Macaca fascicularis: one gene and its partners. The protein of the gene in region 2 purifies or fractionates together with the protein of the main gene of each other region. This does not show direct contact. Links are inferred from orthologs where the notes say so. Each region holds a gene or a part of one and is shown on either strand. Other genes may lie near its edges.

Region 1 (4,084 bases), on a different chromosome or scaffold from region 2:
TAGAGACTATATAAACAAATCAAATGCAGTTATTGGTTGATGATAATAGTGATAAATAGAACATTGTAATATGTTTAAAGCAATAAGTGTGTTGGTTTTCATTACGATTTCGACCATAATAAGAAAAAGACTTAGTGTGAGAACTGTTTTTCATTGTAAAACATTCTACAAATAAGTGGATCTTTTTTTTTAGTTTGCCAGATGAAATCATTTTTTAAAACAACTTGCAGGGTGACTTTGATTGCCCTGTTATATCTGTTTTATTGGTAGTCTGAAGTCTGTCAGGCTTTCCATTTGAAACCCTTACTTTCAGGGGTTTATGAGCAGACAGTTGAAAAGAACTTAACCAGCAAAAACTTGGCATTCGTGATCTTGGTTCAGTATAAGGTACTTGCTTTAACAAATTTTAAGTAGTCAGCTCTTTCTTAAAGTTGTAAGGAGCACAAAGAGGAATAAAGGAATTTCTTTGGTTAAACAGATAGGGAATATTTTTCCAGCCAACTTATCCCAATTAGATTTATATAGCAAACTTTCCTCTCCCAGAAATTTTTAAAGTATGTACGTTCCTATGTTCCAGTTGCCACAAGATCTTGCCTCAAGATTTTCCTTTTCCTTTGCTATAGTTTATAGCAAATACCTTCTGCCTCTGCTCTTTTTCTTCCTATTTATGCTTTTTAAATTCTTCATACTATAATGTATTTACACTAAAAATGGTGTTGGCTTTCTTTTGGCTTTTTTCCTCCTCTTACAATACCAGCTTGAATTTTATCTATTGGTTGTAAAACAATATTAACTTTGAGAGATGTAAAATAAATAGCATTGATTTACTTGAAATTAAACTTCTAAAATGCAGACCATCAAAACTCTTCTGAAGAGTTGTCACTCCAAGACTAGGCAAGTTTTTTTTTCTTCTTCTGGAAAGTGTCGATATCAGCTTGAGTAATTTGATTTTCTTCACAATCTGTTTTTAACTTACTATCATTTGCATGGTGAACACTTAACTACTACTGGTCCATAAAGGTGTTAGTGGGTTGTTGTTATTTCACTTAAAAAAAAAATCATTTGCTGAAAGCCTATTACAGAAATGTAACCTACTGCAGGAAGTGAGGTGATCTTTTGAAAATCTTGACTTTCTCTCTATTCCGATGATACTTTGCTTCAGGCAAGAGGCTTTTAGGTGCTGCTAAAGTTTTTGAGATCTGGGAAAATGGCGTAATAACATGACACCAGCTCTTAAGCAGCAACATCTGCTGTGGTTCAAAGCCACACAAAGAAAGCTGCTTAAGCAGTCAGATGTTTTGGACTACACAGACATGTGTGGTTCAACTGCAAAGACTGCATAGTAGAGGAAGCTTAAGGCTGTTAAAGACTGGAGTTGGGGAAGATGAGCATCTTTAAGAAACAAACATCACCTTGTCCTCCAGGCTATCGAAGATCTTTGTCAGAACCTGCTTATGCAGATTCAGAGATAGGAACAAGTTTAAAGAGTTATCCATGGTGTGGTCCAGTGAAAAGCAAGAGGAAGAAAAATGAATCTGCTGTTTCCAATCTAGGAGAGCCACTGGGTGCTTATCGGTGGCAGAGACATCTGAGTTTTAGGTGGAAAGGGAACAAAAGGGAGAGATTGCAGAGTAATAAAGTAGACCTGTTTGAACGACAACAACAGAAGGTCATCCTGCCAAAGATGGTTAGTAATAATGCTTCCTCCTCTGCTAATGAGGTCCTTGGAACATCAACAGAGAAGCCACACCTGGTCAACAGTCGGTCACTTCGAGCACCATTCACCAGATCTGTTTCAGAACCAGAACCCCACTGCAGTATCCGATTTGTTAGACTGTGGCCAACTTCAGTTGGGTCAGTGGAGTCTGAACAGCAGGGATATTTCATCCGTGGCATTTTCTCTACTCTTTCCAATGGCTTCTCCAGGATGCTGAGTCTAAAAGGAGAATCAACCAATGAGCCAGTAAGAGAAGGTATATTGAAATGAATAAGGGGAAAAGTGGGATGGCTCAGATTTAGTTACTGTTGAAATTTTAATTATTTGTTTTATAATCAGGTGAAGCTTTTCATTTTCTCATTATAAAACAAATATATTAGCACAATTTTTAAAAAGTGATCATCACTGCTTTAGAAACCTTTTAATGACTTATAGTAATAGCAAGAAGTTAACGAATTTGGTTAATTAAGGAATTTTTTTATGATGTTAATTCTTGAACTCAATTTTGGGGCCCATGTGAAAAAATTATTTTTAATGCTCATTTGTCTCCACTGATCTACTTTTCCAGTTTAAGTGCAATTTGGAGGGGAAAATATTCAAATAATTTTTCATGACAATTGAGAATTTAAAATGTATTTCTACTATTATCTCTTCATAAACATTATTTTTAAATTAATGTTATTAGTGAGAAATGTGGAACAGAATTACACTGATAGCTCTTAAAAAGTTGGGATTTTAATTTGCTTATATCATAAAAATACTCCATTTGAATATGGAAGCCAAGCATGCAAATCTTGAATATCTGTTTAGGTGACAAAATAGAAATTTGTGTTTGATTCATTTAAGATAATAGGATTTTCAAATTTTTAAAAATCTCATTTGGGGCTGTTTAAAATTTTTAAATGTATTTCATATTGATTATAGCATTGTTAAAGCCAAAAAGCCCACAATGCTTAATTTTTTTAACTGATTGCCTTAAAAATGGTTGACCGTATCTGGTGAACAATTTTGGTTATGACTTGAGGCCTATGGTTTTTAAAAAACCTTAACACTAGAAGCTTGGTAGTATCTTCATGACCAGTTGAGATCATTTTCTGACAAGCTCTTACCATTAAGAAAATTTCAGCCTCTCATTATTAGGAGATTGAACGTATCATCAAAGGTTTAAACCCTTTCTAAAACTGAGAACTGTTGAAGAATTTTGTTATTGAAATATAATTTAATTTATTTTAAAATAAAGTTGAAGAATGCTAATGAGATCATTTCAGTGAAAACTTAAGTAATTTTCCAAATTAATGTATGCCAAAAATTCAGTATTTCCTGTAAACCCTGCCCTCCCTAGATGTTCCTTTGCTCAGTGAATTTTAATGATGCTCTTAAACATATATATTTTCTCCTTACTCTTGGCAAATAGATAATTACCTAGAGGAAAATCTTCCTCCTTAATGTGCCTTTATTAACATTCCAGTAAAATTTTTGAAAGACTTGGTTGTTTCACTTTCTTGGATATTTGTAATGTCTGTTTCCTTGCCAGGTGATCATAAGGTGATCAAAGTAAAAGAATGTCAAAGGAAGTTAAGAGTTTAAAATCTTACAGTCAGTTCCTCTAAATGGTTAGCATGTGTGCATTTGATAAAAGAAGCAATACTTTAAATTTTTGCATTTATAATCATTTTTGGACTTTCGTAGTGCAAACTTTCAGTTTTTAGCAAATATACCAAGCTATTTTTGATGGTCTACGATGTGTGAGGTGCTGTGAGGTGGTTGGTGTCCCTGCATTTTACGCATATATGGTCTGCTTAAGGAAATATAAAATGTTCTGTATTGTTTCCTACTATCTTATCCTTCTAGTCATGGAATAATATGTATGTGGAAGCACATACAGAGTTTAAGTTTAAGGTGCTGTTTCAAGGAATTTAGATTCTAATAACTAAAAAACAGTGCATTAGCGTCCTACCAGTCATATAACAACATTTATAAAACAGTTCCTCTGCTATCTCCTCAGTGCTTCGTGTGTGTGTGTGTGTGTGTGTGTGTGTATGTGTGTGTGTGTGTGTGTGTGTTTGAGAGGAGGATTAAGCTCTTAAGACTGAAATGTACTGTTTATTATAAAGACTGGATCAAGTGCCTATGCAGAGGTCTCCTTTTCTCTTTTGGCAGTAACTTCTTTCTGGCCTAGTGTCTACATCACTGGTTTTCTGACCTTTTGCAGTTGTGAGCCTTTCTTCATCCCTCATTTCCCACAACAAAAGACTACCAAATAAATGACTAGTTTGATTTTCTTATCTAAGAGAAAGTAATTAAAGTTAAATTCACTAAGTTAACAAATTAAGAAGTAAATTTATAGGCAAGAGCTAGTATCCTAAT
Region 2 (4,026 bases):
CCTTAAGGGCTTCAACTCTGTTCAAGTATTTAAATGACTTTGATCTCTGATTAAAGGTGCTGGTTCAGCTTTAGACTATTATTATCTATCATTTTCTGTGCCGTGTACATTAACATCCTTGCAGTGAGAGGCATAGAGCTATCAGGAGAGGGGACCAAAACCTAACTTTTTAAGTAGACTAATCTTTGTATCCTCAGCTCTATTCCATCTTTTACCGACAGCTGGTGCCTGACCTAGAGGCCTACTGCATCTTTTTGTTAACATTAAAAGTTGGCCTGGCGCGGTGGCTCAAGCCTGTAATCCCAGCACTTTGGGAGGCCGAGACGGGTGGATCACGAGGTCAGGAGATCGAGACCATCCTGGCTAACACGGTGAAACCCCGTCTCTACTAAAAAATACAAAAAACTACCCGGGCGTGGTGGCGGGTGCCTGTAGTCCCAGCTACTTGTGAGGCTGAGGCAGGAGAATGGCGTGAACCCGGGAGGCGGAGCTTGCAGTGAGCTGAGATCCGGCCACTGCACTCCAGCCTGGGCCACAGAGCGAGACTCGGTCTCAAAAAAAAAAAAAAAAAAAAAAAATTAAAAGTTGAGGACTTCTTAATGCCAATTATTTCACTCAGAATATTTATTTATTTATTTAGACAAGGTATCGTTCTGTTGCCCAGGCTGGAGTGCAGTGGCGAGATCTCGGCTCACTCAACAGGAATAATTTTAATAGCAAAAATTAAAAACTCCTTCATTAAGCCGGGCGTGGTGGTTCACACCTGTAATCCTTAGAATGATAAAAATGAAGTAAATTCACTTTGTTTCCTACATCTACCTAGATAGGGAAAGATGGAGTAGCTTTTTCTTTTTTACTTAATAGCTTCAGCGTTGTCCGGGCATTCGTTACTCTCATCTTAGTATAAAGTGGTAACAGGAAGGTCAGGTGAGTGTGGGCTGCCTAGGAGCTGCACTTAACTGCCTTCTGTTTCACAAAAGGACCTTTTCTCCCTATATCACAGGACCCTTAATGTCGTTGTTCTTGCTTTGAATTATGGGTGCTGGAAGAAACTAAACGAAGCCATCACTGAGCAATACACCCACAACCCATCGACCGATAGGAACCTTCGTGTGGGGGAAGTTGGTTACTTTTAGGCTGCACGAAGAGGCGGGGCCACGCGGGGCGGAGCTGGGGGTGGTCTGTGGGTCCGGGCGGGCTTCGGGTAGTTCCTGGGTCCGAGGAGCAGACGATCCGCTGGCCACATTAGGCGCTCAGTCTCTGCGTCTGCCCCTCCCCGTGCCTCAGAGACTTGCGCTCCCCAGGCCCGAGCCCCTATCGGCCCATCCTCGAGCCCCTGTGGCCCGCGAACCTCTTAATTCCAGCCGCTGCAGCCCCCTCCCAGGCCCGGCGTCCCCGAGCCCCGCGGGCGCCGCGCCTGCCCTTCTTTGGCCACGCGGCAGCCGCGGTGTCGGCGAGTCCTCCCGGGTTGCCCCCGCGGGCGTCAGAGGGAGGGCGGGCGCCCGCGTGGTGACGGCGACGCCTGCAGCCCGAGGAGCGCTCCACTCGCCGCCGCCGGAGGGGCCGGTGACCTCTCGGCTGCCCCGCGTCGGAGGCTTAGATGGCTCAGGCGAAGATCAACGCTAAAGCCAACGAGGGGCGCTTCTGCCGCTCCTCCTCCATGGCCGACCGCTCCAGCCGCCTGCTGGAGAGCCTGGACCAGCTGGAGCTCAGGTGAGCCGCGGGCGGGCGGGCGGTCTCGGGCGTTCTGCTCGCCGCGCGGGCGGTTAGCGGACGGAGGCCGCGTGTGGCGGGCCGGGCCCTGGGGCACAGTGAGGCTGCGGCAACAGAAGTTGCTTGTTGAGATTTGTTGTGGATGGACGTGGTGTAGTTTTGTTTATTTCTTGGATTTTCTCCCCTTGTCCAAGAGAAAACGCATTGTAAGCTAAACCTGTGAGGGCGTGATGGTGGCCACACTTTGATTAACTTACCTAGGTGTTGGGGAGCAGGAAAAAGAGGAGATAAAAGTTAAGAGGTGAGATTCCATGCGATTAACGACTGTGGCAGCGTGGGTCTGCAGAGCTTCTAGAACCTTCTGTGTGGCCCCAAATGTTTTTAACTTACTCTTCTCCCGTCATACATTTTTAAGGGAGGCAGCAGTTTACAGTGGCCCTCCACGTGAAGTTAAGTTTCCTTGCTTCAGAACACTTAAAAGAGCAAAAATGAATAAAACAAAACCAACCCAGCAATCCATTGAGACCAAAGATTAGAGAGGAGTGAGGGGTAGGCAGTAAGTTACCGGGTGCTTCGTGCAGTAAAGACGTTGCGGCTTCTCTTTATCCCCTGACCTGGCGGACGGGATTCCGCGGTTCCGTTTGTCTCTCAGTATTTATTGGGCACCTCCCTACATAGAAGACGAAGTGTTAGTCACTGGCCTGAAAGTATGAAAAGATAGTTTTCCCTTTTTCTTGCTTAAGATTTTATTAGGTAATATAGTAGTAGACTTGTACAGAATTTCTAAACAATATAATGTTAATAGATTTTTGGAAAGACTTTAACGGTATATTGAAAAGTTTTATCTACTTCCTGTGAACGTTTGTCTCAAGTTACTGTGTAAATTTTGTGAGCAACTGTAGTTAAAAGAAAACCTTGTTAGGCACCTGGAATTCCCTGAAACTGTACACAGGAGTTGGTTCCATAGTTTTCTCTAGGTTGTGCATGAGCAAAGAAGCATGTGAGCCAAAAAGTTCAGGAAACACTGCATGTGTGTTTTATCTCCCTCCATTAATACACCCAAATATGAAGTGTCCGTTTGCCGAGAAAATACTTCAAAACCACGGCATCTCTTTTAACAAGTAAGGCATTATTATTGTTACTATTGGGAGAAAAGAGCCAGAGAGTGAGAGATTCTCCGCTCAAAATAATTTCTTGGATGGCAGCAGAGAAACCTAAGCCCTACACGAGGTTCTGGGGTTCCACTCAGAATGAGGCAAGTGGAAGAGAGAAATAATGCTTCCTCATGGATTTTCACAATACTAGCAAACCTGACCCGTTCCACTCCCAGAAAAAGTAAAGCGCAAGTAGAAATTGGTGGCCTCAGTTACTGGAAGTCCCTCTAACTGATGTTTCTTTTTAGGGAGCCGCATAACAAGTAACACACCTCTCTCCATGTCTTCAGAACGTTGAGGGCATGTTCTCAACCACTTCACTCGCTCTCCCCTAGTTAGAAAGAAAAGATTTTTTCCTAAAGGAATGGGTAGGATGTTACTCCACCCCGCCTTCCTTCAAGCTGAGTCATTGTCCTCAAACTTGAATTAATGCCTCACATGTGGTAGGTACAAAAGCCCTCTGAAGTGCTCCTCTTAAAAAGAAAGCCTCAGGTTTTGAATATTATTATATTCTAATGTTTGATTAATGTAAAATGAATTCTGATTACTGCACATCAGTGATTAAATTACAACTTGCTTAATTAACATTTGAGCTGAGGAGAAAAGTGATTAATATGTGGCTGTTCATTTCAAGGACTTTTTTTAGTAATTCTAGACTTTTGTAGGCCTTTTTTTTCTTTTTAAAAAAGTAATACTAGCTGAAAAGGAAGGATTTCCTAAGGTAAGCAAAAATAGAGAAAAATGCTAACATTGATCCTATTAAAGTGTTTTTTTGAAACCACATGGGCAATGGCATAGAACACTACACTATTAAAAACTAGAATCATGCGTACAAGATCGATTTTTAAATGAAAACATGAAACTCATATGTAATTTTGCTCTAATAGTTTGATTTTATGTTAACTAATAAAGTAGTGTAACTGGGTAGAATAAAACCTTACCGTTTGTACTTAGAAGTGTGCACGTAATGTTCCCTAACCACATCATCCTGTCAATTGTGGAAGAAATTTCATACTTCATGACCTGGAGTATGAACTGATCTACATGATTAAAATGTTTGGCAGCAGTTCTACAAACTGTTAAAGGATTTCCATTTATCTCTAATGGAATTTATCAGTACACTAGCCCTTTTTTTAGACTGCATTTTGTCTTCTGTATT
Region 3 (4,300 bases), on a different chromosome or scaffold from region 2:
CCGAGGCACGTCTGCGCGGAGCGTGCGCACACGCGGCGGCGGCCGCCCACGGTCCCGAGTCCACGTCACGCGCCCGCCGCGCAGACCTACATAAGGCGGCCGGGGCAACTGGCGCGGCGAGGCCCTAGCTGAACAGGGCGGGCTGGACGGGGCTAAGAGCAGCACTTGGTGTTCGCGAGCTGCTAATCCGAACCGCGCTCCCTCCCCTCCAGAGGGCTCCGTGGAAAACGCGCGAGCCAGCTGGCGGCGTGTGCACGTGGTGCTGGGCTTGGGAACATCCAGATTCTCCCTAGTTAGTAAAAGGGGCAGGCGGCGGGTATGTCCTTCCCAAGACAAATGCAAATGCAAAGCACCAGTGACGGATTTCATGCTCTTGTGTCCGACATTGAGCTTTCAAGTATAACTCCTAAAAAACCAGAACTGTGAACCACGCTAGACCTAAAATCCCCATTCTCAGGAGACTGACGGAAACCAAGTGACAAAGTGGCCTTGCATAAAAGAAAAAGAAATGGCTTTTAGCACGATTTGGTCCAGAGGCACACCAGGGGAAAACATCCTGAGGGTGGTCGAGACAGCCGGGTGGGGCGTGAAGTGAGGGAAAGTGGAGGAAAAGCACACGACCACTTTGCGCCGTGTTCCGAGGGGACACCAGCGCTGCGCTGCCGCGCTGCCCCGCGAGCGGGCGGGCGCCACAGAGCCGGCTCTCCCGACAGCGCTCCTTCGGCGCGCAGGGGGGAGGGGAGCGCGCGCGCGGGAGGGCGGGCACGCGCCCGAGGGGAGGGGGCCCGCGCAGGCGCTGTGCGAGACTGTCGAAGAATCAAGTCTGTAGAAGTGGAGCGGCCGCGGCGGCAGCAGCAGCAGCGACGGTGGCGGCGGCAGAGCTGAGGCGGGCTGGCCGCTGACGCTGGCGCTGGAGAGCGGCGACGCCAGGAGCTGTGAGAGAGCGGCGGAGCGACCCGGGGCCTGCGCCGCACCCGAGCTCCACGCCGCCCAGCCGCCGCCGCCCCGGCGCGGCATGCCCCGCCGCTCGGGCTGAGCCTGCCCCGGCGGCCGCCCCCCGCCCCCTGCCCCCCCGGCCTCCCCGCCCCCCGCCCCGCACACTGTGCCGGCCGCCGCCGCGACCTGCTGCGCTCCCCCGCGCCCGCGCGGCCCGTCTTCGCCCCGGTCTGGAGGCCCGCCGCGGCTCCAGCCGAGCCCCCGCCGCCGCGCCCGCCGCACCGCCGCACCGCGCCGCCCGCCCGCGCCCGCGCCGGCCGGGGGGAACTGCTGCCGCGGCTGCAGCCCCTCGCCTCGCGCCCGCCGCCCCTCGTGCACCGGGGGCGCTGCGCGGGCGCCGAGCCTTCGCGGGCTTTGCCGCCGCCGCCGCCGCCTTTGCGGCCGCCGCCGCCGCTGGTGGGGGAGACGCGGGGTTGGGGGGGGAGGAGGGCGCGCGTGGTGCCGGTGGGGGGCGGCGGCGGCGCCCCCTCCTCCTCCTCCTCCGGCGCCGCGGGCTCCTCGGACATGGCCGCGGCGGTGGCGGTGGCGGCCGCGTCCCGGCGGCAGTCGTGCTACCTGTGTGATCTGCCCCGCATGCCCTGGGCCATGATCTGGGACTTCACCGAACCTGTGTGCCGCGGCTGCGTCAACTACGAGGGCGCCGACCGCGTCGAGTTCGTCATCGAGACAGCGCGGCAGCTCAAGCGGGCGCACGGCTGCTTCCCGGAGGGTCGCTCCCCGCCCGGCGCCGCGGCCCCGGCCGCCGCCAAGCCGCCGCCGCTCTCGGCCAAGGACATCCTCTTGCAGCAGCAGCAGCAGCTCGGCCACGGCGGCCCCGAGGCGGCCCCGCGCGCGCCGCAGGCCCTGGAGCGCTACCCCCTGGCGGCCGCGGCCGAGCGGCCCCCGCGCCTCGGCTCTGACTTCGGCGGCAGTCGTCCGGCCGCGAGCCTGGCCCAGCCGCCGACGCCGCAGCCGCCGCCCGTGAACGGCATCTTGGTGCCCAACGGCTTCTCCAAGCTAGAGGAGCCTCCCGAGTTGAATCGCCAGAGCCCGAACCCGCGGCGCGGCCACGCGGTGCCGCCCACCCTGGTGCCGCTCATGAACGGCTCGGCCACGCCGCTGCCCACCGCGCTCGGCCTCGGCGGCCGCGCTGCCGCCTCCTTAGCCGCGGTGTCCGGAACCGCGGCCGCCAGCCTGGGCTCCGCGCAGCCCACCGACCTGGGCGCCCACAAGCGGCCGGCATCCGTGTCGAGCAGCGCGGCCGTGGAGCACGAGCAGCGCGAGGCGGCAGCCAAGGAGAAGCAACCGCCGCCGCCTGCGCACCGGGGCCCGGCGGACAGCCTGTCCACCGCGGCCGGGGCCGCCGAGCTGAGCGCGGAAGGTGCGGGCAAGAGCCGCGGGTCTGGAGAGCAGGACTGGGTCAACAGGCCCAAGACCGTGCGCGACACGCTGCTGGCGCTGCACCAGCACGGCCACTCGGGGCCCTTCGAGAGCAAGTTTAAGAAGGAGCCGGCCCTGACTGCAGGCAGGTTGTTGGGTTTCGAGGCCAACGGGGCCAACGGGTCTAAAGCAGGTAGGGGCGGCTGTGAAGTGAGGGGTTCTAGGGGAGAAAAGGGGACGGAGAGCAGAGGAGGGGTGGTTCTTTCGATTCACCATTTTACCCCAGCTCAGAAACAACAAACACCCCACTTCCTGATCTGCCTGAGGCGGAACCAGTGCTTAGTGGCAACGTGTTCATGTGCTGAAGCAGCATAACAGAGATGAGTCAGACTGGGCTGATACGCTCTGACACGGGGTTTTCCTTTCCCAGCACATTCTTGGATGGGAGCATGAGGGCACTAGTCACCTTTTAACCTATTGGGGGACATTAGCAGTCACATGCCCAGTGCAAACTAGGGTACTTTTGTGCATGTGTAAAAACAGGCAGTTACAAGCCTGCCATTTTCAGTGGCTCCGTTTTATTTTCAGTCTACTGCCTCAGAACCCCACACGCCTAAATGTTTCAAGTTGCGTGTATGTGCACCTGAAACTCGTAGGAGGGTTTTCCGTCTGTGCTTTTAGAGAGGAGGAATTCTGTAACGAGTTTTGTTTCGGGTTAGGAAGGGAAGGATCCCTTTCAGTGCACCGCCATTTATGTTTCCTTTTTCCTTTTATTTCTTTGTGTTTCCAGTTGCAAGAACAGCAAGGAAAAGGAAGCCCTCTCCAGAACCAGAAGGTGAAGTCGGGCCCCCTAAGATCAATGGAGAGGCCCAGCCGTGGCTGTCCACATCCACAGAAGGGCTCAAGATCCCCATGACTCCTACATCCTCTTTTGTGTCTCCGCCACCACCCACTGCCTCACCTCATTCCAACCGGACCACACCGCCTGAAGCGGCCCAGAATGGCCAGTCCCCCATGGCAGCCCTGATCTTAGTAGCAGACAATGCAGGGGGCAGTCATGCCTCAAAAGATGCCAACCAGGTTCACTCCACTACCAGGAGGAATAGCAACAGTCCGCCCTCTCCGTCCTCTATGAACCAAAGAAGGCTGGGCCCCAGAGAGGTGGGGGGCCAGGGAGCAGGCAACACAGGAGGACTGGAGCCAGTGCACCCTGCCAGCCTCCCGGACTCCTCTCTGGCAGCCAGTGCCCCGCTGTGCTGCACCCTCTGCCACGAGCGGCTGGAGGACACCCATTTTGTGCAGTGCCCGTCCGTCCCTTCGCACAAGTTCTGCTTCCCTTGCTCCAGACAAAGCATCAAACAGCAGGGAGCTAGTGGAGAGGTCTATTGTCCCAGTGGGGAAAAATGCCCTCTTGTGGGCTCCAATGTCCCCTGGGCCTTTATGCAAGGGGAAATTGCAACCATCCTTGCTGGAGATGTGAAAGTGAAAAAAGAGAGAGACTCGTGACTTTCCGGTTTCAGAAAAACCCAATGATTACCCTTAATTAAAACTGCTTGAATTGTATATATATATCTCCATATATATATATATCCAAGACAAGGGAAATGTAGACTTCATAAACATGGCTGTATAATTTTGATTTTTTTTTGAATACATTGTGTTTCTATATTTTTTTTTGACGACAAAAGGTATGTACTTATAAAGGCATTTTTTTCTTTTGTTAACGTTATTAGCATATCTTTGTGCTTTATTATCCTGGTGACAGTTACCGTTCTATGTAGGCTGTGACTTGCGCTGCTTTTTTAGAGCACTTGGCAAATCAGAAATGCTTCTAGCTGTATTTGTATGCACTTATTTTAAAAAGAAAAAAAAAGCCAAATACATTTTCTGACATTGTAAGATTGCCTTACTGTCTGTCATTCCTTATTGCTGGCCCCTTTCTCAG
Region 4 (3,500 bases), on a different chromosome or scaffold from region 2:
GGTGTATATATGGTAGGAGGGGTTCTTGTGGGGCAAGGGTTTGGATTTACTCATAGGATTATCAAGTCCCAGTACTGTTAATAAAAATTGTTGGCTTAAAAAATTTACTCAGAAACCTGGGATATATAGAGTTGTTGAGCTGAAATCCTAAGCTATCATGTCATATTTACAAAATAATGTCAAGTGATAAAAGGAACAAAGAGCCCACTGTGGTGGCTCACCCTATAATCCCAGCACTTTGGAAGAAGGCCAAGATAGGAGGATTGCGTGAACCTGGGAGTTCAAAACCTGGCAATATCCTGTCTCTAAACAAAATACAAAAGGCAGGCAGACATGGCAATGCATGTCTGTAGTTTAGGCTCTTTGGGAGACTAGGGTGGGAAGATTGACTGAGCCCGGGAGGTCAAGGCTGCGGTGTGCTGTGATTGCGCCACTGGACTCTAACCTGGGTGACAAAGCAAGACCATGTACTCCCCCAAAAAACAAACAACCCACAGAATTGCTCACATTGCATGCTCACATATTAATTTTTAGCATTTCTTAACAATAAAGTATCTTTATTTTTATTTTTATTTTTTTTAAAGTATCTTTAATTAAGATATCCACATTGTAACTTTTATATGCACTAGGAAACCAAAAATTAGCACAACTTTCTTTATTGCAGTGGTCTGAAACAACCTGCAGTATCTGCAAGGTATTCCTGTAGTGTTATCCATATTATTTTAATTTTCTGGAAGAGAATGATGTTCAGGTATTACTAGTGTGACATGAAAATAGTAAAAACAGCTGATTTGGCCTAGCAGAAATGTGTATACTTACTTGTTTTTTTTTAAGTTTCCTTCTAAGATTCTCAGGAGATATTGGTACATCTCAACTTAACAGAAAGCAATACAATTGGCAATGACCACCAGATATGCAGCTAGCAAGAATCTAGAAGGGTAACACTTTAAAACTATCAAAAATAGATCTGGTTCCTTTATCTACAGTCCAGTATTATTAACAAGCTAGGTAGGGAATACACAATTTTAACACAAAAATACCTAACAGTGATGAAGAAGCAAATACATTCAAAGCAAATGGGGCAATCAGAGAGAAAGCAGTACAAGAAATATTCAGAGATATTTCAGACAATGTAGAAGTACCCAGTACTACAGCCGAAGTGCTCACACTACGTGGATGCTTGGTTTTCTCCACAAAGTGTATGAACTTGTGGATCTATCCACACACTCAAGAGCATGGGTGCTAGAGATGCCCACTGTAAACAAACTCAATGAACTATAAGGATTCTACCCAAAAGGTCAATTTGTAAAATAAAATCATATCCAAGAAGCATTAATTTAACCAAACATTAATTTCCAAATAAGACAGACATCTTATGAGAAAAAAACTAAAATACCACTTACCATGATGGTTCCTGGAGCTGACTCTGATGAACTCACAGGGCTTTGGTATGGGATCCTGTTATGCACAGAACTCTGGTCATAAGAGGAAGAAGTTGCTACTGGACTAGCAGAACTCAGTGATGAGCTGGTCAGACTGCAGGAGGTAATGACAGAAGTTGTATATGTGGAGTTCTGTACTGCACTGGTCATTGGTAAAGATGTATTCAAAGGCTCACTGAAAAGAGTCAAAGATATTCAACATAATTTTGTTACTTTAAATAGCTTCATGAAAAAAATAAAAATAAACAGCTTCAAGAGATGCAACTACTTCATCAATTTATTGTCCCAAATGAGACTCACCTAATTTACTGAGAGATAGGGGGACATCTTTAAGAATACTTAGGCTGGGCACAGTGGCTCACGCCTGGAATCCCAGCACTTTGGGAGGCCAAGGTGGGCAGATCCTGAGGTCAGGAGATTGAGACCATTCTTGCCAACATTCTGAAACCCCATCTCTCCTAAAAATACAAAAATTAGCAGAGCATGGTGGCGGGCGCCTGTAATCCCAGCCACTCTGGAGGCTGAGGCAGAAGAATCACTTGAACCTGGGAGGCAGAGGTTGCAGTGAACCAAGATCGCGCCACTGCACTCCAGCCTGGCGACAGACTGCGACTCCGTCTCAAAAAAAAAAAAAAAAAAAGAATACTTAAGAAGATTCTTTAAGGAATCTTAAGGAATTCTTTAAGGAATCTTTAAGGAAGATTCTTTAAGGTGTTTGAGACCATCTTTAAAAAGGGAACTTAAACAAGTATCAGGTTTTGCCTCTGGAATGCGGAAAAACTAAAACAACAACAACAACAAAGTCAGCCAGGCACGGTGGCTCATGTCTGTAATCCCAGCACTTTGGAAGGCTGAGGCAGGCAGATTCATTGAGCTCCAGAGTTTGAGGCTGGTCTGGGCAACACGACGAAACCCCGTGTCTATAAAACGTATTAAAAAATTAGCTGGGCGTGGTGGTGCACACCTGTAATCCAAGATACATAGGAGTCTGAGGCAGGAGGATCACTTGAGCCTGGGAGGCAGAGGTTGCAGCGAGTCAAGCATGCCACTTCACTCCAGCCTGGACAACAGAGCAAGACTCTATCTCAAAAAAAAAAAAAAAAAAAAAAAAAACCCCACAAAAAAACTAAAATCTGAGATTTTGTATTTATAAAATATTCCACTGAAGAAAATTACTGCTGCAAAGATGTGAAGAAATTAGATCCCTCACAGACTACTGGTAGGAATGTAAAATGCTACAGCCACAGTGGAAACAGTATGGGAGTTTCCCAAATGGTTAAGTTACCATATGACCCAGCAATTCTACTCCTGGGACATACATCCCGAAGAACAGAAAGCATGCAAAACTTGAAACCAAATGTCCACAGTAGCACGATTCACTATAGTCAAAAAGAGCAAACAACCCAAATGTCTACCAACTAATCAATGAATAAAATGTGGTGTATCAACACAATGAAATATTTGGCAATAAAAATGATACATTAAACATGGGTGTACCTTGAAAACTTATACTAAGTGAAAGACCAGACATAAAAGGCCACATATTCCAAGATTCCAGTTATATGAAATGTCCAGGTAGGCAAATCCAGAGACAGATTATTGGTTGCTAAGGGGCAGGGCAATGAAGAAATTGAGACTGTCTGCTACAGGTATGGGGTTTCTCATGGAGATGATGGAAGGTCTGGATAAACACTGAGGACAGCTGCACAATCTATTACCACAGGATGTATTCTTTCCACCAGGTGATCTCTTAGGGTCTATTTTGCTTCATAACGAAGGACTAAATTCAGTACCTTAAAGACTTCGAATACAAGTTGATGGGAATCTGATTACTATTTTCACTGCTTGGAGCTGATCCAAATTCAGAGAGAGAAGGTTCTGACCCAAATTCCAGAGCCCCAAACTGCACATTTAATCCCGTGACATCTGCTGAACCAGGCATTTCCACTGCAGAAGCTGGGATCTGAAAAAGCAAAGCTGTCATGTCAGGAGCAGAGGTCACAGATTCCAGGTCACAAAGGCCTGTAACAGAGCCAAACAAGCATTTAGGTTCCCAGG
Region 5 (3,500 bases), on a different chromosome or scaffold from region 2:
ACTATGGCTTTTCCACCTGATTGTCTCCGCTGGAGGTGCATGGCTATTCCTCTCCACAGGATCCGATGGCTTGATTATAATGCTGCTCCGAGAGACCACTGTTTCTGGCCTGTTCTTCAGGGGCCCATCTGCCATTCTCTCCGCTTCTGCAAGCTGCAGGGTGATGTCATGTTTGTGAATGGAGAGCTCAAAAGGGGAGCTGACATGGTTGCTAAATGATGTGAGCTCTGCCGGCCCCACCTGGATATTGCTGGTGGATGTGTGCCTCTCCCTCAGGGCCTCACCCAGAGCAGCTCTGGGGCTGCTGCTGTCAGAGGGATAGATAGTAATGCTACTTGTCACTTTGTTTGGCCCTGGTTTGGAGACAGGTTTCTGTTTCTCCAACGTAGTCTCTGTTCCAGATCCTCCCATGATTTTTTTCACATCCTTATCAACAATAACAGGTTTGATGATGGCTCTAGATCGCAACGCCTCTCTGGGGCTAAAGGGCCTTTGGCTTTTTACCCCAGCACCATTGGTATCTGGGAGCTCCATGGCATTGGTGGAGGCTCTGACAGATTTCACAGATTCATTCTCTATTCCAGCATCTTTATCATTCTCAAACAGGGAGGTTCTAGGTACCCCTCGGGCTTTGGCCTTTTCTCTAGAGTTAGGCTGTGGTTTGGGCTCGGGCTCTGGAGTGATGGTTGTATTTACCAACTTGGCAGTAACAAGAGATGCTATGTCCAAGTCATCATCTGAGTCTGGCTTCTCTCTGCCACTGGATTTGATGACTCGACACCTCAAGGCTTCATGCTGACTGCTGTCTTCCATCACAACTGCTGCAGGTTGATCAACCCCTTCTCTATGTGAGGTTGAAAATCCCTGAAGGATGTTCTCTTGGCTTCTAGAGCTATAAGGATACTTTGATAAAACAGGAGCCTTGGAATTTGAGGAACTGGTATTGGCCTCAAGGCCATTGGCAGCCTTTTTGCCTTTAGAGAACCCTTCTGAGGAGGATCTTCGAGATGAGGCCAGAGCTCCAATGGCCTTAGAAGAGCCAGAGTTTGCAGCGTGAGTTACTTGACTTCCATTGCCAGGTACATGTCCCCTCTTGCCAAAGACAGACTCAGAGGAGGTGTCAGAAGCCTTGTCAGCTCTACCCAATGTGTCACTGGGAACAGATCCGTGGGTGGTGTCACTAAACGTTCGTGTTGTCTTCTCCACTTTTCCCTTCAGTCCGCTCTCGGTGCCCGGCTTGGGAGTCCCCTTCCACGCTTTACTGTGCTCCTGAGCAGCGGGGGGGTAGCGACTCAGCACTGAGGGCTGCTCCCTAGACTTCTTCCCTTCGCTCTGGGAGGATCCGGGTGCAAATCGGTCTTCAGTTTTCTTTGTCTCCTGAGTTCCACTGTCTGTACTCGCCCCCATGTGAGAAGCTTTTGCTGCCCTCCTGTTGGCGAAACTGGGAGAAGAAACCTGCCTGTTGCTCAGAGAACAGTTTTCATTGTTGACAGCAAACTCCCTGTTCCGGAGTCGTTCCCGCTTATGCTGAGGAGACAGTTCCCGTGCTGTGTGCCTGGACGCAGGAGCCTCACTTCCGTGGCCTCTAAACTTAGTCCTCTCATGTCTGCCTTTGCTGGACAGGAAAGCATCTTCCCCTTCTACCTCCCCATTTTCTAACTCTTTCTGTTTCTTGATTTGTAGCTTTATCTCCTCCAGTTGGCTGGCTAATAATTTGTTTTTATTTTGCTCACTTAGGTAATTATCCTGAAGGTCATTATTTTTGGCTTTCATTTTCTTAAGCTCTTCTTCCAACGATTCAAAGTGTTTGATTTGTGTTTTAAGTTTCTCAATCTCCTGGTTAAGGTCTTTGACTTTGTTGTCTTCCTGATTGCGGTTCTTTTCGTTTTCTGATTTGTTTCTTGTTTCATTCTCCACCTGCTTTAGGTAGTCCAGAGCGCCCTTCCTTCTTGATTCTTTGGACGGCAGTGTAGATGAGATGCCATCCTCAATCCGAAGGTCATTTCTTTCCAGATTAGAAGCATTCCTTGTATAATCTCGGTTCATTTTTTTGTTCTGCTCTAGTTTTTGAGTGAGTTCTTTTATCAATTTCTCATTTTCTTTCTCCTTTTCATTCAAGTATTTTCTCTCACTTACAAAGCTCAGAGTTAATGATTTCAGCTTTTCTAACTCTGACGCTAAACTCTGCTCAGTTTTATCCAAGCGGTCCTCAGAAGATTCTAGTTCTTTCACTTTGACTCTGAGCATTTCTAGCTCAGAGGAGATTTTCTTGGTCAGATTTCTCTCCTCATTCAGGCTCAAACACAGCTGGGTACAGTCATTCTTACTCCTGCTGAAGGCCTCTTCCAGCTTCTCTAATTCAGCCATTCGTTTCTGAAGCCGCTCAATCTCAGATTTCAGCTCCCGGGTGAGGTTTTCTTCCTCTTCAAGTTTCTCCTTCATCAGACGACACAGATCCTCTGCTCTCTTAATCTCCTCGTCTTTGCCTTCAATTCTCAGCACCCGCTGGCGCAGCACTTCAATCTCCGCCAACATGCTGGAGTTGCTACCTTCTGCCTGAATCACCTTGTCCTGGAGATCCAGGAGCTCATCCTCTGCTTTCTGGAGGTTTTTTGTGGCTTCTTCCAACTCATCAAGGCGGCGGCTTAGACTCTGTAGCTTAAATCGCAAGTGGCGGCTGGAGGCTGTCTCCTTGTAGCTTGTAAATTCGGCCATGTCTACTGCCAGCCAATGTGGACTCCTAGAGGCATCCAACTCCACTCAAGGGGATGAGAAATGGTTACCTTTCTCTTGGCAACCACAATCTTCTTTGACAGCTGGAGACCATCATCAATCTATGGAAGCAAAGTAGAAAGCACGTCAGTCAGCAAATGTAAAACCTGCATGTTAGCTCCCAGTTATAGAAAAGAGCTCCTATCTGTTCCTGGTGCCTGGATCATAGGAGGGGCTCAAACTCGTTGAATGAATGACAAACAAACCTGCAAGAAAACACTGGTTCTTTATGGCCAATATTGAGTTGATACCTCGTTTCGCCCTAATAAAGAATGTCACCAGTGGCAGCATGGCAAAAAGACGTATAAGAAGCCTCAATTCTCATGGCAGGGTATAGTAACATCATTACCACCTGCAACCTGCATAATCTCAGGAGAGTCATTAACAATGTAAACTGAGCCTCAGTTTTACTTAGTGGTAAAATGGGCATAATGATGTCTACCATATTTCTCCCCAGTGTTGTTCTGAGACAATATGTGGAAGATCTTGGTAACAAAGCAATAAACAAACCTAAGATTATTTAAAAAAAAAAAAAAAAGATTATCTCTTATGAGCTATTGTGACTTAAAAGTGATACAAATTAACCCATCTGCCTTGCTATAAATGGTGAGCTTCACAATATACTAAAGCAATCTCTCCACGCCCGTTTTCAACATCTCTTCTCCCAAAAGTGTATTTGTAAGTGGAATTCAGGTGTGAGTTGGCCCCACCCAGGCAACAGGCAGCTT
Region 6 (4,167 bases), on a different chromosome or scaffold from region 2:
TCCGAGAGCCAGCTGGGCCTGGGCAGTAGATTTGTGGGAGGGTCCCCTGTTGGGACTCTGCCGACATGGAGTCCTCAGGGCTTGTGTGCTCTTAAAGCCACAGGATGGGACGATCACCTCCTTTCTCCAGGCCACGCAGCCAGCGCCAGAAAGCTCTGCAGCTCCCCGCACAGTCTGGAGAAGGGCTTCCTTCCAGTTTGAAGTCAGTGTTTCTATCTCATTGCCATGCTCGCCCCCACTGCTACATCCTGCACCAACCATTGCCACTTTATACTGACCAGGTGGAACCAAACACTGACATTCCACACGGCTCCCCATCCCTCCCCAGGGAGAACAGGCCCACAGGTGGTGCACCTGTGAGGAGAGTGGAGGCTGGCCACAGGCCTCATCAAATCTGCCTCCCTTGCTCAAAAGCCCTGCCCAGAACATGCCTCGGTCTCAAAAAAGAGTACACTGGGACCTAACCCACATGCCTCATAATCTTTTAAGCAGAAACAGCAAGCAGATTATGGGACAGGACAGATCATGCTAGTAGGATTAAGCTTAGAATATCCCAGATAATCTCAGATGCCCCTCCCCCAATGGGGCAAGAGAGTACTTCTGAGGGTTAAGGGGAATAAGAAAAAGAAGGAAGGGCTGGGTGCAGTGGCTCACACCTGTAATCCCAGCACTTAGGGAGGCCAAGGCAGGTGGATAACTTGAGGTCAGGAGTTCCAGACCAGGCTGGCTGATGTGGTGAAACCCCGTCTCTACTAAAAATACAACAATCAGCCAGGTGTGGTGGCGTGCATCTGTAGTCCTGGCTACTCGGGAGGCTGAGGCAGGAGAATTGCTTGAACCTGGGAGGTGGAGGTCGTAGTGAGACAAGATCGCACCACTGCACTCCAACCTGGGTGACAGAGCGAGAAGCCGTCTCAAAAAAAAAAAAAAAAAAAAAGAAAGAAAGAAAACGAAAGACGGATAAAAGAAAACAGAAACATGGGAATACTTCCTTTGCACAAAAATGCCAAGGTCTAGAATGAAGAGATGGTGAAATGAAGTCAGCCTGCAGGAAGGCGCACTGCGCCGTAATGGGACTTGGGGATGGGAAGGCCGACACAGACAGAGGTGTCAGCAGGACAAATACAAAGTGTTTCTGAAAAGAGCAAAGATTTCCAGTCCTCTCTTTATTCCCAAACACTCTGTAGGTAAAGCAGGGCCTCAGTAAACCCGAGAAGCAGAAGGCCTGGCCTCCTGCCTGGAGCAGCTTCAGTTCAGACTTTTCTTCATTCCTAACAGCAGAAAGAGGCTGTGCAAATGGGAGGCCCTCAGCAGAGCCTGAGGAACTCTGGGGTCTTAGCTCCTGGGAGGCCACACGTGCTTGGTGGCATCCCGCCTGTCACGGTCCCTCCAAAAGCTCCCAGTGATCAGTGGCCTTTCTTTTTTCTTTTTTTTCTTAAGACAGGGTCTCATTCTTTGCCAGGCTGGAGTGCAGTGGTGGAATCTCGGTTCAGTGCAACCTCTGCCTCCCAGGTTCAGGGGATCCTCCTATCTCAGCCTCCCAAGTAGCTAGGACCACAGGCAAGCACCACCACGCCCGGCTAATTTTTTGTATTTTTAGTAGAGTCGGGGTTTTGCCATATTGTCTTGGCTGGTCTCGAACTCCTGGCCTCAAGTGATCTACCCGCCGCCACCTCCCAAAGTGCTGCTTTCACAGCAAAGAGTCACCCTGCTCGGCCAGTGTGGCCTTTCTTCAGGCCATCACTTGCCAGCCACAGGCTGTGGCTCTGCCCCTCACCGGACACGACGTCACAGCCGGGATGTGAACAGCAGATTTTGATCTCCAACTCCAGACAATCACTGATTTACTTCTGCAAACCGGAGCTGTCCGGTCTTGCAGGGTCGGACCGTGTAAACAAGCCTGCTGCCAGGCAACTGAAGACAGACACACGAGTAAAGACGCCCCACAAGGAATGAAAAACAAAACTCCTCCTGGGAAACCCAGATTTGGGATTCGGAAACGGGCTTGAGATTAACCTGAAGCTTCATGACGTCTTACTTTCTGTTTCCACTGCCTTTCCTTTTCCACTACAGCGACGCCCTCCGCTTCACGTGCCAAGTCCTGACTTTCTCCGAATAGTTGCCGACCCAGCACCCCGTAGGCCGTCCCCCGGGGACGCCGATGTCCTCTGGAGCACAGCGTCCGCTGGCGAAGCCGGGTGCTTGCCCTAAGCGCGGACACTTCCGCAACCGCCCAACAGTTAGCAGAAGCCCGATGCAAGGGACGCCCCATTCTCCCATCCCAGGGAAACTTCGCTGGGGCAGCGGTTCAATCGGGTGTGGGTCTCGCAGCCGCTTTCCCAACTTAAGGCTCTGCGTTTGGGCAGGCTCGGGACCCGCCGCCCTTCCTGGCGGGGGCAGGGCAGGCTCCCCGCGCGTAAGCCGAGGTGTGGCAGGGCCCCTCCCCGCAGCCCTCTCGCGCCGTCCACCGCGGCCCTGCTCCCTCCCGGTCCCCACGGGCCCCGCGCCCGCGCGCTGCCCTCACCGGGCTCCAGCAGATGAGCGCGTCGGTGTCCGGGTCGCTCACGAGGGTCCACAGCTTGGTCAGGAAGGCCGGGACGTTGCTGGGCCCCGCCGCACCGGGGCCCACGGGCAGATCCATCTCGGGCAAGGCGGGAATAGGCGGAGGGAGCGGCCGCGAAGAGGGGCCGAGGGCCGGGCTAACGCCGTTGCCGCGCCAGCCGTCCGGGCCGAGCCGCCGCCCGCTGCGCACACACAGCCCCAAGGCCCAGCATGGCCGCCGCCATCTTGCAACGGGCGCGCTCCCGCCGCTGCCGCCGCCGCTGCCGCCCTCTCGCGTCCCCCCCCGGCGCGAGCACGCAGGCCCCGACCCCGCCCCGGCCCCCGGCCCCGCCGCGCGCCTGCGCGTGTTGGTCCCGCCCCCCCCCCCCCGCCCGCCAATCGGGGCCGGGCTGGGCGGGGCGCGTCCTCCTGCGCACGCGGCCGTGTCGCTGCCGGAAGCGGCTGTTCGGGTCGCGGCCGGCGCGCGGCGGGACATGGCGGGTTCGCGGGGCACGGGGCGCACGGCGGCGCCAAGCGTGCGGCCGGAGAAGCGGCGGTCGGAGCCCGAACTGGAGCCTGAGCCCGAGCCAGAGGTGACTGCGGCAATGCGGGGCGGCGAGGCGCGTCCCTAGAAGGCCCAGCGGGCACGTGGCCGCGCTGGGGCGGGTGGGCCCGGCTGCTGTCACCTGGGCGCCCGTGCCCAGTGAATCGGCCTTGGGCGTGGGCGCAGCTCCTCTATCGGGGGGTCTTAGGCAGAGCAGACTGCAGGGTGAAGGACGGCGTCCGGGAAGCGAAGAAACGGGGGTGCAGGGAGTGGGGATAAGCGCCCCTTGCAGCAGCCTCTCCGGCCGTTCCATTTGTGCGTCCTGCCAGTAAAAGGGCTCGGCTTGCGCCCCCAGTAAATGCTTAACCTACTTATGCGCTAGTTAATCGCGTTTTTATGCTCATGGGATAGACGTGAGAATAAGAAAACCTGAATAGAACCCAGAGTCTGCTGCGTTTGTTGTATCAGAACTCACTGTTGCCCTCTGCCAGCTCAGCCCCGTCTTGGTTGTGGGGATCGTCAAATTGGGTGGTGGAGGGAATGGACAGCCAGCCTCTCACAGCCCCCTCGGCCGCGTTGGGTTGTTGAAACTGCCCCATTGCTTTGTGAAGCGAACTCAACTAATCCTGGTTCCCATGGGCTGAACGGCCCGCAGGCCGCTCTAGGCGCCAGGTTCTGCTGCTTGCACCCTTGAGTTAAATGGTCTTCAGGAGCCAGTTGTTTGTGCTCAGGCCATGCATGCCATTTCCACTAGTTATTGTGGTTGTGTAGCTGACTGAGGACCAAGACACATCATGACTGTGTGAGAGAGGCATTGTGTGAACACTCAGTATGCAATAGCTAATACATCCAGGTCGTACCTTAAGTGAGACTTGTAAACTGTTAGGAAAGCAGTAAAATCTAGAATTCTACATTCAACTGCTTCCATTTTCTTTTCTTTCCTTTTTCTTTTTCTTTCTTTTATTTTATTTTCTTTTTTTTTTTGAGATAGAGCCTTGCTCTGTTGCTCAGACTGGAGTGCAGTGGCACAATCTCGGCTCACTGCAGCTTCCATCTCCCGGGTACCTCAGCCTCCTGAGTAG
Region 7 (3,500 bases), on a different chromosome or scaffold from region 2:
GTAGCCCAACACAAATTCTTAAGCTTTCTTAAAACATTTTTGTGATTGTTTTTTCTTTTAGGTCATCAGGTACTGTTAGTGTTAGTGTATTTTATGTGTGGCCCAAGACAATTCTTCTTCTTCCAACATGGCCCAGGGAAGCCAAAAGACTGGACATCTCTGCTGTAGAAGTATGCAAATGTTATCTTAGAAACAGTGATCCTAAAAGTGGTTCCCTTAAATTCACTGCTATCTGATAAGAAAACTATAAGCTCTCACCTGAAAAAGTTTAAAAAGGGTTCTTCCATTGGATGCTACCATCTCTAAGAGCATATCAAACTGCTGCCCTTCAGTTGTCTCACTATATGGAGCACAGAGGGCAAAGGTAAGGAAGTCCAAGAGTGAACTAATAACTAGGGCACCAGTCCCATGATCCTGAAACAAAGCAACAGATTCTCTTAAAGACTTGAAGATGGGGAGCTTCAGTTACATTGTAACAATAATGTGTTCCTTTCTGTTATTCTATATGTCAGACATAAACATTGACTTTAATTTCTCAACATGAGGTTCAAAGTTGGATGACTCTTTAGTACTTGCTTTGCTCACACAGTGAATCCATTATCCATCATACCTCAAAAGGATCAATTAAAATTCAGTCAAATTTCAAGAGTATAACCAAGACTTCTCAAATGTGTATAACAAAGGTTAATGTTTATTTGCATAAAAGAAATCTTTGCCAATATTTAAAAAACTCTGGCAATCTGCTCATGTTCCTTCAAGATGCTATAGAATGCCCATCTCCAAAATTATCAGGAACTGATGAACAAAGATTTGCCTTAATATTTAAAAAACTCTGGCAATCTGCTCATGTTCCTTCAAGATGCTATAGAATGCCCATCTCCAAAATTATCAGGAACTGATGAACAAAGATTTGCCTTAATTTTCTTAGAGCAGTTTATTTGATAATGACATTTTTAAAGAAAGAAAAAACAAAAATTGGAGTATCACTGTGAAAATCTAAAGGCTTTGACATGTATCCTTCCCAGATTAATGGATACAGTCCTAAGACAAAATATTTTATTATCAGTGACCAAGCTGAACTGTGACCAATACTGACCAAAGCTGGGGGCTATAATAAAAAAAAAAATCATCCATGTCGCACTTCTAGATTATCTTTCAATAACGGCATGAGACCTACCATGAAGACAAATTTAATTATAACTTACCACATGGGAATTAAATTTCTCCAGTAAGTTTTCCAGAAACTTCTTTGATGAGAGAAGAGAAGCTTTGTTCAACTGTTCTTGTCTTAAGTCATAGTCATCATGCATGGGCTGTTGATGAAAAAAAAAAAAAGTGGTAATTCATAAGCAGTCCCACGTGCTAGCATCACACAAAAGTCATTTATAAAGAGTATTCAAATTACACACTGAAAGAATTAAAAACCATTGCCTTTAAAGTGTAAGACAAAAAGGAAACTCATGATAAGCAGGCAGAAGTGATGATTTACCATGATTTTGATCAGACTTCACAGATAATTTGCCCAACAATTAACTCAACATATACACAAGGTACTCTCTCAAAGGTCACAGATCTTATTAAAAGGTAAACAACATTTGCCCAGCCAGAATTTTAAAACTAAAATTTGAAATAAAACTTAGCATTTAAAAGCATGTACTAAACAACAAATACTTGTCTCAAGGGTGATTTTCTTTTGACTATTGAAACATTCCAGCATGATGGTTAGGAGTACAGTTCCAATCCTAATTTTACTACTGACAATAACTGGGAGACATTAGGCAACGTAAGTTACTTTACATAACTCTGAGTTGCATTTTCCTCAGCTGTAAAGTAGGAGTGATAGTATTTATATAAGATTACTATAATGCTTAGATGAGATAATTCATGTAAGATACACAGCCAACACCTAATATGTAATGAGGGCTCAATGTTTCATAGCACCGTTTACTTTTCTTTTTTATTGTGGTAAACTACATATAACAAAAGTTACCATCTTAACCATTTTAAATTACACTGTTCAGTGGCATTAAGCATTCACATCTTTGGGCAACTATCACCACTACTCATCGCTAGAACTTTTTTCATTTTCCCAGACTGAAACTCTGTAATCATTAAACAACAATTCCCCATTCTGCCTTCCCCTAGCCCCTGGCAACCACCATTCTACTTTCTGTCTGTGAATTTGACCTCATATAAATAAAATCATACAGTATTTATCCTTCTGTGACTGACTTCTTTCACTAGCATCATGTTCTCAAGATTCATCCATGTTGCAACACGTGTCAGAATTTCCTTCCTTTTTGTTTCTGCTCATTTAGCAAATACTGTACGTTGTTATGGTTAATTGTATAAACTTTGGAGCCAGAAAGTGGGCTTGAAGCCTCCTCTACCACTTACTAGCTACATGACCTTGAACAAGTTACTTGGGCCTTAAGTCCTTCTCTGTAAAATAGATATAATAGTAGTAACTTCTAAAGTTCATTGGAAGACTGAATAATATATGTGAAATTCATAGAATAGTACCTGAAACACAGAAAAAAATAATTATTGTTTATTAAACAGCTTGACAAGGCCCGTTAAAGATAAAAATAAAAATTAAACAAGAATATTATCCTCAGGAAGCTGACAGATTGAAAAAAATATACCATGTTTAGAAATAGCAATAATCCAAAGAAGAAATTGCTAAGAAAGATAAGTGTTATATTCATGAGGGTAATTTCACTTCAGGGAGGGATAAACCACTACCACCTTCAGGAATAGGAAAGCTCCATTTATTTTTAAATTTTTTAATTGTTGTGGGTACATAGTAGGTGTGCATATTTGGTAAGCTTCATTTAAAAGCTGACTTGAGCTCTTAACGAATGATGAGCAGGGAAAGAATTCTGAGCAGAGGGAATATATGGCATATTAATATATATATATAGGTCTCTTTCCTTGGCTCCTGACATACAGCACCTAAAACCCTTGCAGACAGGGGTACTAGCAGAATCTTTTGTTGCAACAGTCTTTTACCCTGGTTCCTGACACAGAGCTCCTAAGGCCTTTGCAATTTCCTGAATGATAGGGGAGCCTGACACAAAGCTCTTTACCCTTAGAATTTCCTGGGTGATAGGAACATCTTTTGTTATAATAAAGCAACTCTCCAAATCATTGTTATTTTAAGTTCTAGTTATCTCACTACTTGTTTGGAACAGTAAATATAATTAATTCACTTTTGGGGATGCAAGGTTTTATAGAAGTGTTTACTTATGTTTATGTGCCACTAAGCTTGCCTAAAACACTTTATATAAGGAAAAGTCCCAGGTACTACACACAAAACTGAGATGAGAAACTTCAAAACTATACTAAACAATTGTTTCTCCCTCTGTACAAGCTGCCACTGAGTTAGATCTTTACTGCGCAACAGCTTTCAGATGTACCACTTCTCTAGCCCCTGTGACTACCCTAGCTCAGCAACTCATTTCTTACATGACAATTTGGTCAACCTGCCTCTAATTTTA

What was found.
Region 1: the proteins of BAG2 (region 2) and RASAL2 purify together in Homo sapiens (affinity purification with mass spectrometry; 3 studies listed by BioGRID and IntAct, with this or other methods). This does not show direct contact. The link is inferred for Macaca fascicularis from reciprocal best matches to the Homo sapiens genes BAG2 and RASAL2.
Region 3: the proteins of BAG2 (region 2) and IRF2BP2 purify together in Homo sapiens (affinity purification with mass spectrometry; 3 studies listed by BioGRID and IntAct, with this or other methods). This does not show direct contact. The link is inferred for Macaca fascicularis from reciprocal best matches to the Homo sapiens genes BAG2 and IRF2BP2.
Region 4: the proteins of BAG2 (region 2) and UBAP2 purify together in Homo sapiens (affinity purification with mass spectrometry; 3 studies listed by BioGRID and IntAct, with this or other methods). This does not show direct contact. The link is inferred for Macaca fascicularis from reciprocal best matches to the Homo sapiens genes BAG2 and UBAP2.
Region 5: the proteins of BAG2 (region 2) and LUZP1 purify together in Homo sapiens (affinity purification with mass spectrometry; 3 studies listed by BioGRID and IntAct, with this or other methods). This does not show direct contact. The link is inferred for Macaca fascicularis from reciprocal best matches to the Homo sapiens genes BAG2 and LUZP1.
Region 6: the proteins of BAG2 (region 2) and HSF1 purify together in Homo sapiens (affinity purification with mass spectrometry; 3 studies listed by BioGRID and IntAct, with this or other methods). This does not show direct contact. The link is inferred for Macaca fascicularis from reciprocal best matches to the Homo sapiens genes BAG2 and HSF1.
Region 7: the proteins of BAG2 (region 2) and DNAJC13 purify together in Homo sapiens (affinity purification with mass spectrometry; 3 studies listed by BioGRID and IntAct, with this or other methods). This does not show direct contact. The link is inferred for Macaca fascicularis from reciprocal best matches to the Homo sapiens genes BAG2 and DNAJC13.

What each region holds. Positions count from the first base shown.
Region 1 is NC_088375.1:35,792,832-35,796,915, forward strand, and holds the start of RASAL2 (ras GTPase-activating protein nGAP), read left to right. Parts: upstream 1-1,284; 5' UTR 1,285-1,384; coding exon 1,385-1,973; intron 1,974-4,084. UniProt on the Homo sapiens protein: Inhibitory regulator of the Ras-cyclic AMP pathway.
Region 2 is NC_088378.1:114,546,289-114,550,314, reverse strand, and holds the start of BAG2 (BAG family molecular chaperone regulator 2), read left to right. Parts: upstream 1-1,226; 5' UTR 1,227-1,600; coding exon 1,601-1,713; intron 1,714-1,763; exon of another isoform or gene 1,764-3,310; intron 3,311-4,026. UniProt on the Homo sapiens protein: Co-chaperone for HSP70 and HSC70 chaperone proteins. Acts as a nucleotide-exchange factor (NEF) promoting the release of ADP from the HSP70 and HSC70 proteins thereby triggering client/substrate protein release.
Region 3 is NC_088375.1:14,524,370-14,528,669, forward strand, and holds the start of IRF2BP2 (interferon regulatory factor 2-binding protein 2), read left to right. Parts: upstream 1-1,500; coding exon 1,501-2,548; intron 2,549-3,145; coding exon 3,146-3,861; 3' UTR 3,862-4,300. Other genes in the region: uncharacterized protein, read right to left, coding at 516-1,502. UniProt on the Homo sapiens protein: Acts as a transcriptional corepressor in a IRF2-dependent manner; this repression is not mediated by histone deacetylase activities. Represses the NFAT1-dependent transactivation of NFAT-responsive promoters.
Region 4 is NC_088389.1:65,451,256-65,454,755, reverse strand, and holds part of UBAP2 (ubiquitin-associated protein 2), read right to left. Parts: intron 3,406-3,500; coding exon 3,236-3,405; intron 1,618-3,235; coding exon 1,404-1,617; intron 1-1,403. UniProt on the Homo sapiens protein: Recruits the ubiquitination machinery to RNA polymerase II for polyubiquitination, removal and degradation, when the transcription-coupled nucleotide excision repair (TC-NER) machinery fails to resolve DNA damage. May promote the degradation of ANXA2.
Region 5 is NC_088375.1:212,044,410-212,047,909, reverse strand, and holds part of LUZP1 (leucine zipper protein 1), read right to left. Parts: intron 2,835-3,500; 5' UTR 2,716-2,834; coding exon 1-2,715.
Region 6 is NC_088382.1:153,969,930-153,974,096, reverse strand, and holds the start of HSF1 (heat shock factor protein 1), read right to left. Parts: upstream 2,801-4,167; 5' UTR 2,642-2,800; coding exon 2,525-2,641; intron 1-2,524. Other genes in the region: ribosome biogenesis protein BOP1, read left to right, coding at 3,036-3,134. UniProt on the Homo sapiens protein: Functions as a stress-inducible and DNA-binding transcription factor that plays a central role in the transcriptional activation of the heat shock response (HSR), leading to the expression of a large class of molecular chaperones, heat shock proteins (HSPs), that protect cells from cellular insult damage.
Region 7 is NC_088376.1:35,412,197-35,415,696, reverse strand, and holds part of DNAJC13 (dnaJ homolog subfamily C member 13), read right to left. Parts: intron 1,314-3,500; coding exon 1,206-1,313; intron 415-1,205; coding exon 259-414; intron 1-258.